2 linked regions of the Caenorhabditis elegans genome follow. The protein of the gene in region 1 interacts with the protein of each later gene in a pairwise test. Each region holds a gene or a part of one and is shown in the gene's direction. Other genes may lie near its edges.

The links.
Region 2: the proteins of F25G6.9 (region 1) and jip-1 interact in a two-hybrid assay, tested with the Caenorhabditis elegans proteins (one large-scale study listed by BioGRID).

The regions. Positions count from the first base shown.
Region 1 is NC_003283.11:8,564,775-8,572,531, reverse strand, and holds F25G6.9 (Signal recognition particle 14 kDa protein), read left to right. Parts: upstream 1-2,531; 5' UTR 2,532-2,576; coding exon 2,577-2,654; intron 2,655-2,706; coding exon 2,707-2,860; intron 2,861-2,902; coding exon 2,903-3,014; intron 3,015-3,061; coding exon 3,062-3,306; intron 3,307-3,355; coding exon 3,356-3,960; intron 3,961-4,012; coding exon 4,013-4,224; intron 4,225-4,301; coding exon 4,302-6,825; intron 6,826-6,880; coding exon 6,881-6,959; intron 6,960-7,010; coding exon 7,011-7,123; 3' UTR 7,124-7,257; downstream 7,258-7,757. Other genes in the region: symk-1 (DUF3453 domain-containing protein), read right to left, coding at 1-1,959, 2,102-2,221; F25G6.8 (Signal recognition particle 14 kDa protein), read left to right, coding at 7,361-7,475, 7,556-7,662.
Region 2 is NC_003280.10:1,324,916-1,330,339, forward strand, and holds the start of jip-1 (PID domain-containing protein), read left to right. Parts: upstream 1-2,079; 5' UTR 2,080-2,085; coding exon 2,086-2,181; intron 2,182-2,921; coding exon 2,922-3,134; intron 3,135-3,751; coding exon 3,752-3,912; intron 3,913-4,498; coding exon 4,499-4,656; intron 4,657-5,408; coding exon 5,409-5,424.

The DNA.
Region 1 (7,757 bases):
TTGCTTCAATCTTTCAATTGCATTCGGAGTCAAAAGTGGTGTTTCTAGTAGAACTTTATAAAAGAGAGCTTCTTTTTCCATATTTCTTTCCAACATTGCGTCAAGCATCTTGCACATTGCTTGATCATATCGATCCAATCTTTGTGCTTGGGTAAGTCCTTCTTGTCCAGCGATCATTTCCTTCATGAAGAGAGCACAGTTCGAGTAGCCTTGATATTGTGCGTAAAGTTCGCAGAGCCATAGAAGCGCCAAATCATTTCTCTTTTTATGATCAGCCAAAACGAATTCTATCAACTTTTCTTCAAATGGAGTACAATCTTCCCAGAATCTAGTCGTCAGCCGGACAACTAATTTCTGATACATCAACCTTGCTCCACCAGCAACAACTCGCCGTTCTGCTTGAAGAACTGATTCATAAGCTAATTCAAACATCTCCGCAGCTTCTTTATCGTCAAATACAACGGCTTCTTCTACCAAGTTGAACGCCTTTTTCGCTTTTTGAATGACCGGAAGAGTGTTAATTTCTTGAAGTGACTGTTTGACAATCTGGGCTGGAACGCGATTGCTCATATTCGGTTCGTGGATTGGTGTTTGGGCGATTGCCATTCCTTCACTTCTTGCCTTATTCCTTGCTTCATATTCTTTTTTCCTTTGTTGCTGCAACCACTCATATCCCGGTCCAATTTCTTTGTTCGTCATTTGAACAGCCATTAGTTCTGATAATTCTTGACGATTCGGTTCTGTTCCAGCGTTTGCTATTGGTGTGTATGATGATGCGAATGCAGCTGGCATTTCTGACGGTAGAGTGTAGAGTGAGATCTTGACAAGATTCATGACAGTTTCATGATTCAGGCATTCCATAATAAATTTGGCTGTCATATCGATGGCTTCAGTTCTCGCATCCTTTGCATTTACAGTGCTAGTGGATGGTCCTGCTTCGTCATCGTCATCATCATCATCTTCGAATATTTGATTTTGAATCTTGGGACGTTTGGCAACTGGTTCTGCAGGATGCTGTGGTGGCCGTGGCGGTGCTATTTTTTGAATCAGTTCAGGTGGAATCGACTGTTGTACTTCTCTGGGTGAAGCTCCCAGATAGTTTGTTAACATTGTGGTGATCTTTTGCTGGAGAGGAACAGATGCAGGCAATTTCAAAAAACGTAGCAAATTATATTTGAATGATTTTCTCAGAAATTTGACTTGTCCCTTGCTGAGCATTGGTGGTACATTTGAATGAAGAGCTTTTATAACATCGAAGACACGTGGCAACGCATTCTCCCATTGAGGTCGACAACGAGTAATCATACAGAGTGATTCAATTACTGTTATAAGATTTTGTGATGTTGCTTCCGCGACTGTTGTTTGCTTTAGTAAAGCACTGAAATTCTCCTCGGCTTCCAACTGGGTTTTATGATAGGATAGGAATCTATGACTTCGTGGAACATCTGATAGAGAAATCCTATTGAATCTAGTATTTGCCTCTCTTGCCCAGCTTATGTTGCTACCAGTGGCCAACTCTCTTGGCTTTGGAGATTGACACAAAATAAGAGCTTCCAGAAACTTTACGGTAACAGTTCGGACTCCTTCGTGATCATCGCTAACCAGCATACAAATTCGATTCTTGAGCAAATTAAAAGCATCCCAGCAGCTCTCCGCGTTGTCATTTTTATCCATGATTGCGAATTCAAGAACGATCGGATATAAGTTTGTTGATGCAACGACAACTCGTTTTATAACACTTTCATATCGTTTAATAGACTTATTGGGAATAAGATAAAAACTATATCTTTCGACAGTTTTGTTACATAACGTGAAGTCTTTAGCGCTTGCTTTGAGAAGAAAATCGACGAGAAGGCATAGAATCCTTGAGTCGTTCAGCTCTGCGAATTCCAGCATTTCGGTTAGAAAATTGTCGAGAATACTGATTGAGAGACTCGGGTCGATGAGCAGATGCATTGCCTGTAATTAAATAATTGAATATCGACTAGTCATTTCCCGGTAGATTTTTGTTTTAGTTCTTTGAAAAACTGTTCTTTTTATTTCCAAAAACACAACAAAAAGTAATTAAAATTTTGGTAGAAAACCATTTGTAAAAACTTACTGTAGAAAGAGAAAGAAGTTTCTTTTCGATAGTCTCCGCATCTCGAGCTTCTTTTAAAGCCTCTCCAATTCGTTCACTCGCCGTTTCATTCTCCTCGTTCAATCCCTGGATGTAGTCCATCTGAAATATTTAACGGTAACTTCAGAAAAAATGAAATGAGGGCCGGCAATTGCAATAGACAAGAATAATTGTATGAAATGACATAAATAACAATTAACAACCTTGTAATTATAAGTTATTTAAAGAAATTTCTAACTGTAAATGACGGAAATATATAATTATTCAAATTTAAGAAAATTCAACGAAAAATAGAAATTGAAAAACTTAGTGCGCGCCAAGTGTCAGTTGCTGGCGCACTTCGCGATTTGTTGGCGCGTTTCTCGTGCATGAATTGGAACCTCCAAAACTGCATTTCAGACCATTTTTTCATTGCGAATTCTCTGAAATTTCAGTGATTTTTTTTTCTATTTTCGACATGAATCCCGTGGAACCCGCGGATTTAGTCGATATTAGAGAACAACTACATTCTGGCTGTCACATAGTTCAGGCGAAGGTAATATTAAGATAAAATCTTCTATTATTAGAAATGCTCACACATTTTTCAGGGGTTCAGTTTTCTTGCCAATCGAATTATCAACAAAGAACTAGATGCGAAAGATGAGAAAAAATATCGGAAGCTGCTATTCGATTGCTTTGTCGTGGAGGAAGACATACTATTCAGATTTCTGATTGACACTTTGCCAATTCTTCTTATTAGAGGTAATCGTACTTTTTTTTTGCAATCTAAAGCAACTTTTTCAGGATCAAACTCACCGGAGACTCTATGGGAAGAGTTTACACTTCGTGCACCGAGAATACGTCGAATTCAAAGAGCTTTTGGAATGATGATAAGCCATTGTAAACCGTCATTTTCGTGAGTTCAAAAAGTGTATTCCTTTGTATATGGTAAATATTTTTCAGAAAATTTCTGGACGTGGCAGCAAGAATTGACAGTGAAATCTTGACTAAAATCTGCATTAGCAGCGAGTTTGGATACAACTTTTATCAATATATCGCAGTGCTTTCGTTTACTGGATTGCTATCGGATAGTCAGAAAAGGCTAGTAGGAAATTGTGGATTGGCCCAAAATGTGTTCTTAAAACATCAACCAGATTTGTACCCAACTGGGCACGAGAGTGAACATGACCCGGAATCTTTTTTGAGAGGTAAAAATATTTAATTGTTTGATTTCTAACTAAATAATTAAATTTTCAGAATGTTCCGCAGAAGATCTTCTCAGTCATCCTCTACATAATATTGATCCATTTCAACGTCATAAACTGATGCGAGACAGACCGGCCGTTCTCGAAAGTAAAAATCTTCCAAATCACATTCTCTACTTACCTTACGCGGTTATGCTCAGTCAGTACAAACAAGTCATTGTAAAACTTGTTGAGCAATCAAAAATGGCCGATCATAAACTTGCTTCGGAGAATCGAGTCAGTGGATGCAGGGATACATATTCATTTGCTGCTCCCGATTTTTCCGATCAAGATCTGACTTTTGAAACATTCATGTATCACACGATAGCTACTGGAAAAGTCACGTCTTTCATCAAATACGTTGAGAACTATCACGAATCGCTAGGAATCCTTCAAAAAGCTCATCTTCTTCCAGCACTTACTGTTTTTCTGACTCATTCATCTACGAATCCATCTCTTCAAGAAAGAATTTGCAAGTTAATAGCCTTGTTCGTCAAAAAAGCTCCAGAAAATGCGGATCAATTCGTGCTCTATTTCATTACATTATACCAGAAACCATTCTTTCCAATACACCGGCACCTGCTTCTCGAAACTATCAAGGATCTATTTGTTAATCGAGTGAGTAAATTCAAAAGTTCTCAAGAAATGTAAAATAATTATTTTTTTTCAGTTCGTCATAAGTTCTGCCTTCGGCTTCCTCAAAATCACTGCTTGTTTAGAAGGTGATCGTGTAAGATCATTGGAATGCCTAGCAGAGATCATTCCAAAATTCACACAGTTGTTCGAACCAATGACTAGTCTCTGCGCCTTGAAGAGGGATGATGGGTCCGACGAATCATTTTATGCGGAGCTTCATTTATTGAAGGAGTGCTGCAAAGTAACGTAAGTTTTGTATCATTTCTGAAATAAACAAAAATCACATTTCCTGAAATTTCTCACTTCAACTAAAGAATTTGCAGGGAAGACAACGAAAAAGCTCTTTCAAAGATCAGCAATTCATTAAAAGAATGTACAGGACCTCGGTTGGCTGCCATTGTGGATGCTGTTACCGATTTGATCAAGTGTGGAGTTCTTGATACAATAGGCGCAAGATCCATGCTTACAAAAAGAGCCAGGCAAAGAGGTTGCGAGCAATCATTAGGAACGTATTGTCGGTTATTATCAACATCCACTATCCCTGAAGAAAACGAGGAACAGGCTCGGATTTTGAGAATGTCTTGTATCGAGGAGCTAGCAAATCTCAAACAAAACGATAATCACACAGTTGCTTCAGAAGCGTGGAGATCGCTAGGAGCATTTGAATTGGATGAACTCGAAAAAGGACTGAAAATAAATCCTGCACAATTTGCCACTCTATTCGTCAAATTAAGAAAAGAAGTTCAAAATGGATTTATCGACTTCCTGAGTCTGTGTTTGCACAAAGAAGTTGAATCGTACCAACGACCACTATACAATACTAGTGCTCAGGATGTCAATGTTTCACCGTTGCTCACAAAAGTGGATACCTTCAAAGATAAATTGATTATTGAAAATAAGAATGAACCATGGTTCTGGTCAGCTTCACTCTCATTATCTGCATCTATTCTTCAGCTCACAGGCCCTACCAATCGGGCTCAAGCATCTGTGCGCCTCCTTCAATCCTGTTTGGAAAATGTTGTTCCAGCAAGTTCACACGATGAAATGATTCGATTGATGGCTGGATGGAGAATATGTATCAGAGAAGTGCTCCACGTGCTCACTGAGTCGAAAAGTAACGATATTCTCTGGGCAAGAGATCAGATCATCAATACTGGGCGAACAAGTTTAACGAACAAGGCTGAGTCAGTTGACAATATAATGATGATGCTCACAGCTTTGGCAGATGCTATCGATCAACAGCTTAGAAACATCGAGAATGATGAACAAGTTGAAGAAGTATCCAAGGCTCAGAATCCGTGGTTGTTATCCGTTTATGAGTTTGTTGCTACCCGCTTGCCGAAAAATTTGAAGGAGAAACGAGTTGCGAAAAATGAGCCAATATATCAATTGATAACCCATTCAAATAAGTCTTCCCTACTCACTGCCATATTCTGTTTGCGTCTTCTGTATTTAAACCCAAGTGTTGCTGCATTTTACAATGATGAAGATGTTGGACTCACTGATGATCGGATGCTTGTCAGTTTATTGCAAGATTCCACGAAAGAGCTTAAGAAAGAGGAAATTCCTGATCGAAAAATGATGTGGGTGACTGCGGAGGCTTACGGTGCTAGTCAGATGAGTGCGAAAGCGTTTGAAGTTGCGTACAATATAGTTATTGACGAGAAGACAGAAAAGTATGAAGAAACGGAGCTGGTTGATGATGAAAGTATTGAAAAGTTCTTTAATGGATTGATTTCCTCTCCAAAAAAAGATCTTAAAGAAATAGAACAGAATAATAAGAAAGTTCTTGAAAAACTTTGGAATAATGGAAACAATGAAGTGAGGAGAAAAATCTACGAAGGATTAGCTGAGTTAGCTCTAATCTCTGGAACAGGTCGCAGCAAAATGGTCATACCAGCTGGAAAGTTACCTGAAGGCATATTGAAAGGAATTCTTCAGTTGTTCGATAAGAAAATAAATGTCAAACCGGAAACTCTTCGAAACATCATCCGCTGTCTTGTTAATCACAGAAGAAATGATGGACGATTCCTTCCACCAATTGACTGGATGAAGTTCTTAGAAAGATCGGAATGGACAAAAGCTGATACGGATGCTCGTTTGGCGATGATTACGTTGGCATGTGAACAAAATATCTCAGAAGTAATTTTCCATTTTTCGAGTTCTTTGACTGTGAAGGAACTTTTGGTACTTTCTGAAAATCTACGATCGGTTTCAAAATTGTTCCCTAGAAAGGAGTTTACGATGATTCTTGTTCAAATGGCCGTTCAAGCGAGAAAAGAAGATGTTGAAACATCGAAAAAGCTTTCAATGGCTCTATCAGATCTACAAAAAGATTCAACTGTTCATAACTTTTTGATGAAATGTCTTCCGAAACTGTTTGACATTTCTGGAATTACTGATCCAATTCTGAACTCGATAAAAGATCCAGACGCATTCGGAGGTCAAATTTCCAACTGCTTTGATGTATGGTTGGAAGCTCGCAGAGGTGAAAAGATGAACATCAGAAGAATTTGTGACATTTTTGGCAAGGAGGAGAGTAATTCGAAGAAGAATGCGATTTGTGCATTGATCTCTCACGAATCAAGAACACTTTCAAGGAAGATGAGATTTGAAAAGCTTCTCGACGTGATTACTGCAAGCCGCATCGCAAGAACATTCGGCGGATCTATGCAATCATTCTTTTCCATCTTTCTTTCAATCATCGTCAGCAACAATGATACTGTCGAAATTCCATTGTGTTGGTTTGAAAATCAAGAACATGTTCCTGCGATGATGATCGCTGCTAAGCAACCATTTTACAAATGGATTGTTGAAGCTCCAGAAATGAAATCCAATGCTCACCATGTGAGTTTATTTTCAATAGAATTTTTATAATGTATCGCAAAACTCATATTTTCAGTTCGGGTCATTTTTGTCGTATTATGTGGATGGGCCGGAAAAACAATATTACGAATATTGGCACACAGAAGGGGCAACAGGTGCTGCACTCATATTTAATTGAATTTATTTATTTAAATGTATATTTTCAGACTTGCTCGCCATGATTGTCTCTGCCTACCCAAATGAGACCTTCCCGAACCTTCTTACTCAAACCGATGAGTTCTGGAAATCTCTTCTTGGTATTGCAGATGTTGGAAAATGATTATTCCTTTTCTCTCAACGATCTCCTTATTTATTATTAGTTATTGTTTTAAATACTATCAAATGTTATATGAGTATTTCGACTGGTGTCTCCTATTTTGTTCGGTTACAATTGCAATATACATATTTATTTTGTCACGATTTTTATTTATTTTGATTTTTCAAACGGTATTTCTGCCGATATCTACTTGTGTACCGTTAGTTTTTTTGTACCTTCAAAAAACGTATTTTTAGAAGAATGTCGGCAGTTGAACAACATATTCCCAACGACCAATTCCTGCAAAAGCTGACGGCATTTTATAGAGATTCAAAGATTCGAGGACCAAAAAGTGTATATGTTACAATGAAGCCATGTAAGTTCGAAAAATCATAACTCCTAAAAAATATAAAAGAATTTTTAAAAAATTATAAAAATTTAATGAAACGTTTTCAGATGACGGTCGAACCAAAGCGATGCCAAAAGGAAGCACGTTCAAAGAGGGTGACGAAATTTCATGTATCTTTCGAGCCAAATGGGGAAGCAAAAAGATTGCCACAGAGGTTAGTAGACCGAATAAAACTAAACGAATTTATAAAAATTTGCAACAATAAAAACGAGCTAATTCTTTTTGAAAAAAACAATTTAAGAATTTTTA
Region 2 (5,424 bases), on another chromosome or scaffold:
AGAAGATCGAGAAGAAGAAGAAAATGAAAAAATTCGGCGTCTTCATGTGCTCCTTAATCTATTCCAACATTTTTTTTTTGGTCTGCCAGACTACAAACTACAGATTTAGAACTAGCAGACCTAAGCTTCTTGCTCAAATTTGAAAATTTCCGAAAAAAATTGCAATTGTTTTTCCAAATTTCCCGTTTTTCGAGAATTTGAACAATTTTTCCCGCGTTTTCTGCACAATTTTGACGTTTTTGGGTTACTGTAGCGCCAAAAGTACGCAAACACCGAGTCTCTCACGCGAAAATGCACAGAATCTCAAAATCATCGGAAAAAACAGTCCCAGGGGTGAAATGAGGCGCTGAACTTGAATTTGACAGTTAAAATTATCAAAAAATACCTGAAAACATTGAAAATTCAATTTTTTTAGTTTTTTCTTTCAAAATTTCTTTTTCGGAAGATATATTCGCCTGGAAATAAATTATAGGGCTATATATTAAATTTCTAACATTTTTCTTATGTTTCCTGCTCAAATTTGTCTTTTGGGGGGTACTGTAGCCCCAAAAGTCCGCAAACACCGCACACCTTACGCGAAAATGCACAGAATCTCAAAATCCTCTGAAAAAAGTGTTCTAGGGGTGAAATGAGGTGCTGAGATCGAATTTCAATGTGAAAAATTATGAAAATCGTTGGATTTTGAGAAATTTTTTTGGTTTTTCGAAAAAAACCTGCACCTCCCCACCCCCCCCCCCCCCCCTCTTTCAGGGGGTACCCCTTAATCTATTCCCACTCATTACTACATCTTTTTTTTGCTCTCATTTTCTCTGCGTCTCTCACTTTCACATACTATCTCGTCGGGAGATTAGTGTGAAGAAGACGCTACCCTCAGAGAGCAGGAAATGCGCGGAATTTATTGGAAAATGTGTGTGCTCTCTCGATGAGGGAAATGGAGTGAAGAAAGGGGGGGGAGGAAATTGAGATAACATGTCAAAACTCGTGATATGATATAGCCAATAACATTGGTGAAAATTATAAGCCAGAAAAAAACATCGCAAAAAAAAATTTTTTTTAGCAATTTTTCCCGAAAATCTTTATTTATTCAATTTTCATCAATTTTTCATGCTAAAATTCGAACTCAGCACCTAATTTTACCCCTAATCCATCCTTTTCCGACAACTTTCGGTTTCTGTGCATTCTGTCGTAAGGTCCGGTGTTTGCGTACTTTTGGGGTTACCGTACCCCCGAAAAGTTGAGTTTTTGGCAAAATGTTTTTTTCTCGAAAATCTTTATTTTATCAAGATTTTTCCTGATTTTCATGTTAAAATTCAAACTCAGCACCTTATTTTATCCATACCACACCTGTTTCCGACATTTTTGAGATTCTGTGTTACCGTACCCCGCAAGACTTAAAAATTGAGCTAGAGACTCGGAAACAAGACTTTGGCTGGAAAATTTGACAAAAAATTCGTAGGGAACTTCAATTTTGATTTAAAAAAGTTTTTTTGGAATTTCGGGAAAAAAAAATTTTAGAAAATTTTTTTTCCAAACTTATTTTCTTTATTTTTCATTTTTCACTTTCTCAATTTTTCATCTAAAAATTCAAATTCAGGTCTTGATTTTACCCCTACCACGTCTTTTCCGGCAATTTTGAGTTTCTGTGCATTTTGTCGCAAGGTCCGGTGTTCGCGTACTTTTGAACCTACAGTACCCCCGCAATACTCGAAAATTGATCTAGAAACTCGGTAAAAAAGGCTTCGGCTGTAAAATTTGACGAAAAAATTGTTGAGAAGTTAAATTTTGGAAAAAAAAATTATTTTTGGAATTTCGGTGAAAAAAAATTTTTTTTTGGAATTTTTCAAGAACAAAAGTTTTGAAAATTTTCTGAATATTTTTTCCATGATCCCCTTTTTTGAGTTGTTTTTCAACGCAATTTTCTCTGCACTCTCTTCACTCTCTCATCCACTCCATTCATCATTTTTTCCAGCGCGCATGTCTGGAACAGAGATTCACTTTTATTTTTCCTTTTTTCTTTTTTTTTTTTTGCTCCAAAACTTCTTTTCCACTACTTGAAATTTTAAGTCTTAAAAATTTCAGCACAAAATGAGCGCATTTGAATGTCGAAAATGCGATGATTTTCCGATTGAGGAGAACACGGAGGACGAGGATGATGACGAGTGTCCGACGGTTATTCGGAGGGTAGGTTTTTTCAGGAAAACCGTTGATTTTTAAAGGTTTTAACTATAAAAATCAAATTCAGCAGCGTTTTTTTGCTCCTAAACCGGTTTTTTTGCAAAAAGCAACAAAAAAATTAAAAATTTTTTTTTTTTCAAAACTCGAAATTTTTCTCGAAAACCAGCAACTTTTAAAAATTTTCATATCAAAATTCAAATTCAGCGCCACTTTCTACCCCATTCCCAGCTTTTTCAGCCAATTTTAATTTTCTGTGCATTTTGTCGTAAGGTATGGTGCATCGATTTGTGTTTGCGTACTTTTGAGGCTACAGTAATTCCAAAAAACTTAAAATTGAGCCAGAAGTTTAGAGAAAAACTTATTAAGGGTGAAAAATTACGGAGAATCCGAATTTCTTAATAAAAATTGTGAAAAATTTCAAATTTCTACAAATTTTCCAGTAAAAAATTTTCTCGGCAAAAAAACGCAACTCATTTTTGGAATTTTTCACACCGAATTTCATTTTCAACACAATTTTTTACCCCTCAAACACCATTTTAAGTCAATTTCAAAGCATTCTGCATTTTGTCGTAAGGTGCAGTGTTTGCGTACTTCTGGAGCTACAGTAACCCAAAAAATTTCAAAAATGAGCTAGAAGCTCGAAAAAAAAAAGTTTCCAGGGTAAAAAATGTCGGGAACTCGATTTTCATATCGAAAAACCAAAAAGAAGCCTCTAAAACCTCCAAATTTCCTGAATTTTTTTCCAGTCCTACTCAGCCGACTGGCTGCACAACGACAATTCCTCTGGAGGTGATGACGATTCAGAAGAGGATTCTGACGCCGAATTTCTGGTTCATCCGTGTCTTCGGAGTATTATTAAATCGAAATCCGCTTACGCAGTTCCCCGTAACTCTGATGACGTTGCAGCGGCGGCAGCGATGAAAAATAACAGAATTAAGCCGAGCAAAACAAGCTTTGAGGTGAGCTGGATGAGGAGGTGGTGGTGAAGATGTAGTTTGTAGTCTTTGTAGTTTTTGTAGTTTGTAGTTTATAGTTTGTAGTCCGTCAGACCAATGTTTTTTAGTTTAAAATTGATTGAGTCTGCCATTTGCAGGTTCATAGTTTTGTGTGGTTAGATCTGTTATTTCGAAGTTGGTAATTTATAGTTTGTAGTTTATGGTTTGTAGTTTATAATTCGTAGTTTGTAGTTTGTAGTTTGTAGTCTGTAGTGTATAGTCCATCAGGCCAAAATTTGCAAGTTTAAAATTGATTGAGTCTGTCATATGTAGGTTAATAGTTTTGTTTGGCTAGATCTGCTATTTTGAAGTCAGAGATTTATAGTTGTAGTTTGTAGTTTGTAGTTTGTAGTTTGTAGTTTGTAGTTTCTAGTTTGTAGTTTGTAGTTTATAGTTTGTAGTTTATAACTTGTAGTTTGTAGTTTGTAGTTTGTAGTTTATAGTTTGTAGTCCGTCAGACCAATATTTGCCAGTTTCAAAATGATTTGATCTGCCAAATTTAAATTTTTTGTATATATTTTACAATTTATAGTTTATAGTTTGTAGTTTGTAGTCTAGCAGACCAGAACACCATTTTTCAGATTTCCTTATCAAAAATGATGGAATCAACGAGTAAAAGCATAGCGGAAGAAGCAGAATACTCAGTAGCCGACCTACTTCCGACACTTGATGAAAAATGGCCGGACCCTGAGGAAGAAAATGAAAATTTGAAGTCAAAGCGGCGGAAATCCAATATTATGAGGTGAAAATTCGAATTCTCCATCGTTTTTCACATGTTACCCGTTTTTTCTGGGTCTCTATCGTTAATTTTGAGACTTTTGGGGTACGGTAGCCCCAAAAGTCCGCAAACACCGTGAGCGTGACGCAAAAATGCACAGAAAAACTCCGATTTTGCTGAAAAAGTAGAGATATGGGTAGAAAATCATGCTGATATTGAGTTTTGGCATGAAAATTGTTGAAAAATCATTTTTATATCGCAAAAAAGGAACATTTTCCCTGTTAATCCAAATTTTCCCCCTTTGAAACATAAAAATTCGAATTCCTCACCATTTTTCACTTCTAGAATACTTTTTTTTGGAGTCCTAGCGTAAAATTTGAAAATTTGAGGTTACTGTAGCTTGAAAAGTGCGCAAACACCCAGCATCTTACGACAAATTGCAGAAAATCTTAAAATCGGCTGAAAAGGCGGGTTTAGGGGTAAAAAATGACGCTGAGCGTGAATTTTGATATGAAAAATGTTGAAAATATCTAGATTTTGTGAAAATTTGGAAAATTTGGTTCAGTATTGGTCTGCCAAAGTCCAGCATACTCTAAACTCAAATTTCCAGGTACTCCCCGAGCCTATGTGACTCTGATCTATCACTGAACCTCCATGATAAGGATTCTGAAGATGATGAGGATCGTATTCTAAACCGCCCGTCCGGATGTTGGTCCTCGCCGCCCAACTTCTTCGATGAAACATTTCGCGGTGTTTCTCCAATGAATCGTTAGTTTGTTTACTGTAGTTTGTAGTCTAGGCTTTACTATAAACTACAAAAATTGGTTGTGAAAAAATGTTTTGAAATATCAAAAAAAAAAAAGAAAAAAAATCGAATTTTTTCCCAAAAATTTCAAACGAAATCAAATTTTGACGTTAAAATTCAGATTCCTCGCATTTTTTCACCCTAGACCCATTTTTCCTGGTGTTTCCTGCTAAATTTTGATCATTTTGGGGTACTGTAGCCCCAATAGTACGCAAGTACGCAAACACCGAGCCCCTCACGCGAAAATGCACAGTTTTCTGGAATTGCGTAAAAAAGTTGGGGTAGGGGTGAAAAATGGTGCTGGAAACGAATTTAATAGTGAAAATGTTTTAAAATCGGCAGAAAATATAAAAATTTGAAGAAAATTTTAAAAGTTGTTTTTCAAAAAAAATTTTATCCAATTGTTTTGCACAAAATCAAATTATTAAGTGAAAATTCAGATTCCTCGAATTTTTTCACTCTAGCACCATTTTCCCCCGTGTTCTCTGCTCAATTTTGACCATTTTGGGTTACTGTAGCTCGAAAAGTACGCAAACACCGAGCCCCTCACGAGAAAATGCACAGTTTTCTACAATTGCGTAAAAAAGTTGGGGTAAGAGTAAAAAATGGCGCTGAAAACGAATTTTATAGTGAAAATGCTCGAAAATCAGCGGAAAATCCAGAAATTTTGAATTTTTTGAAATAAAAAAGTTTGAAGTTAAAAAAAAATTTCCAGAAAAGTGTTGGTCAGC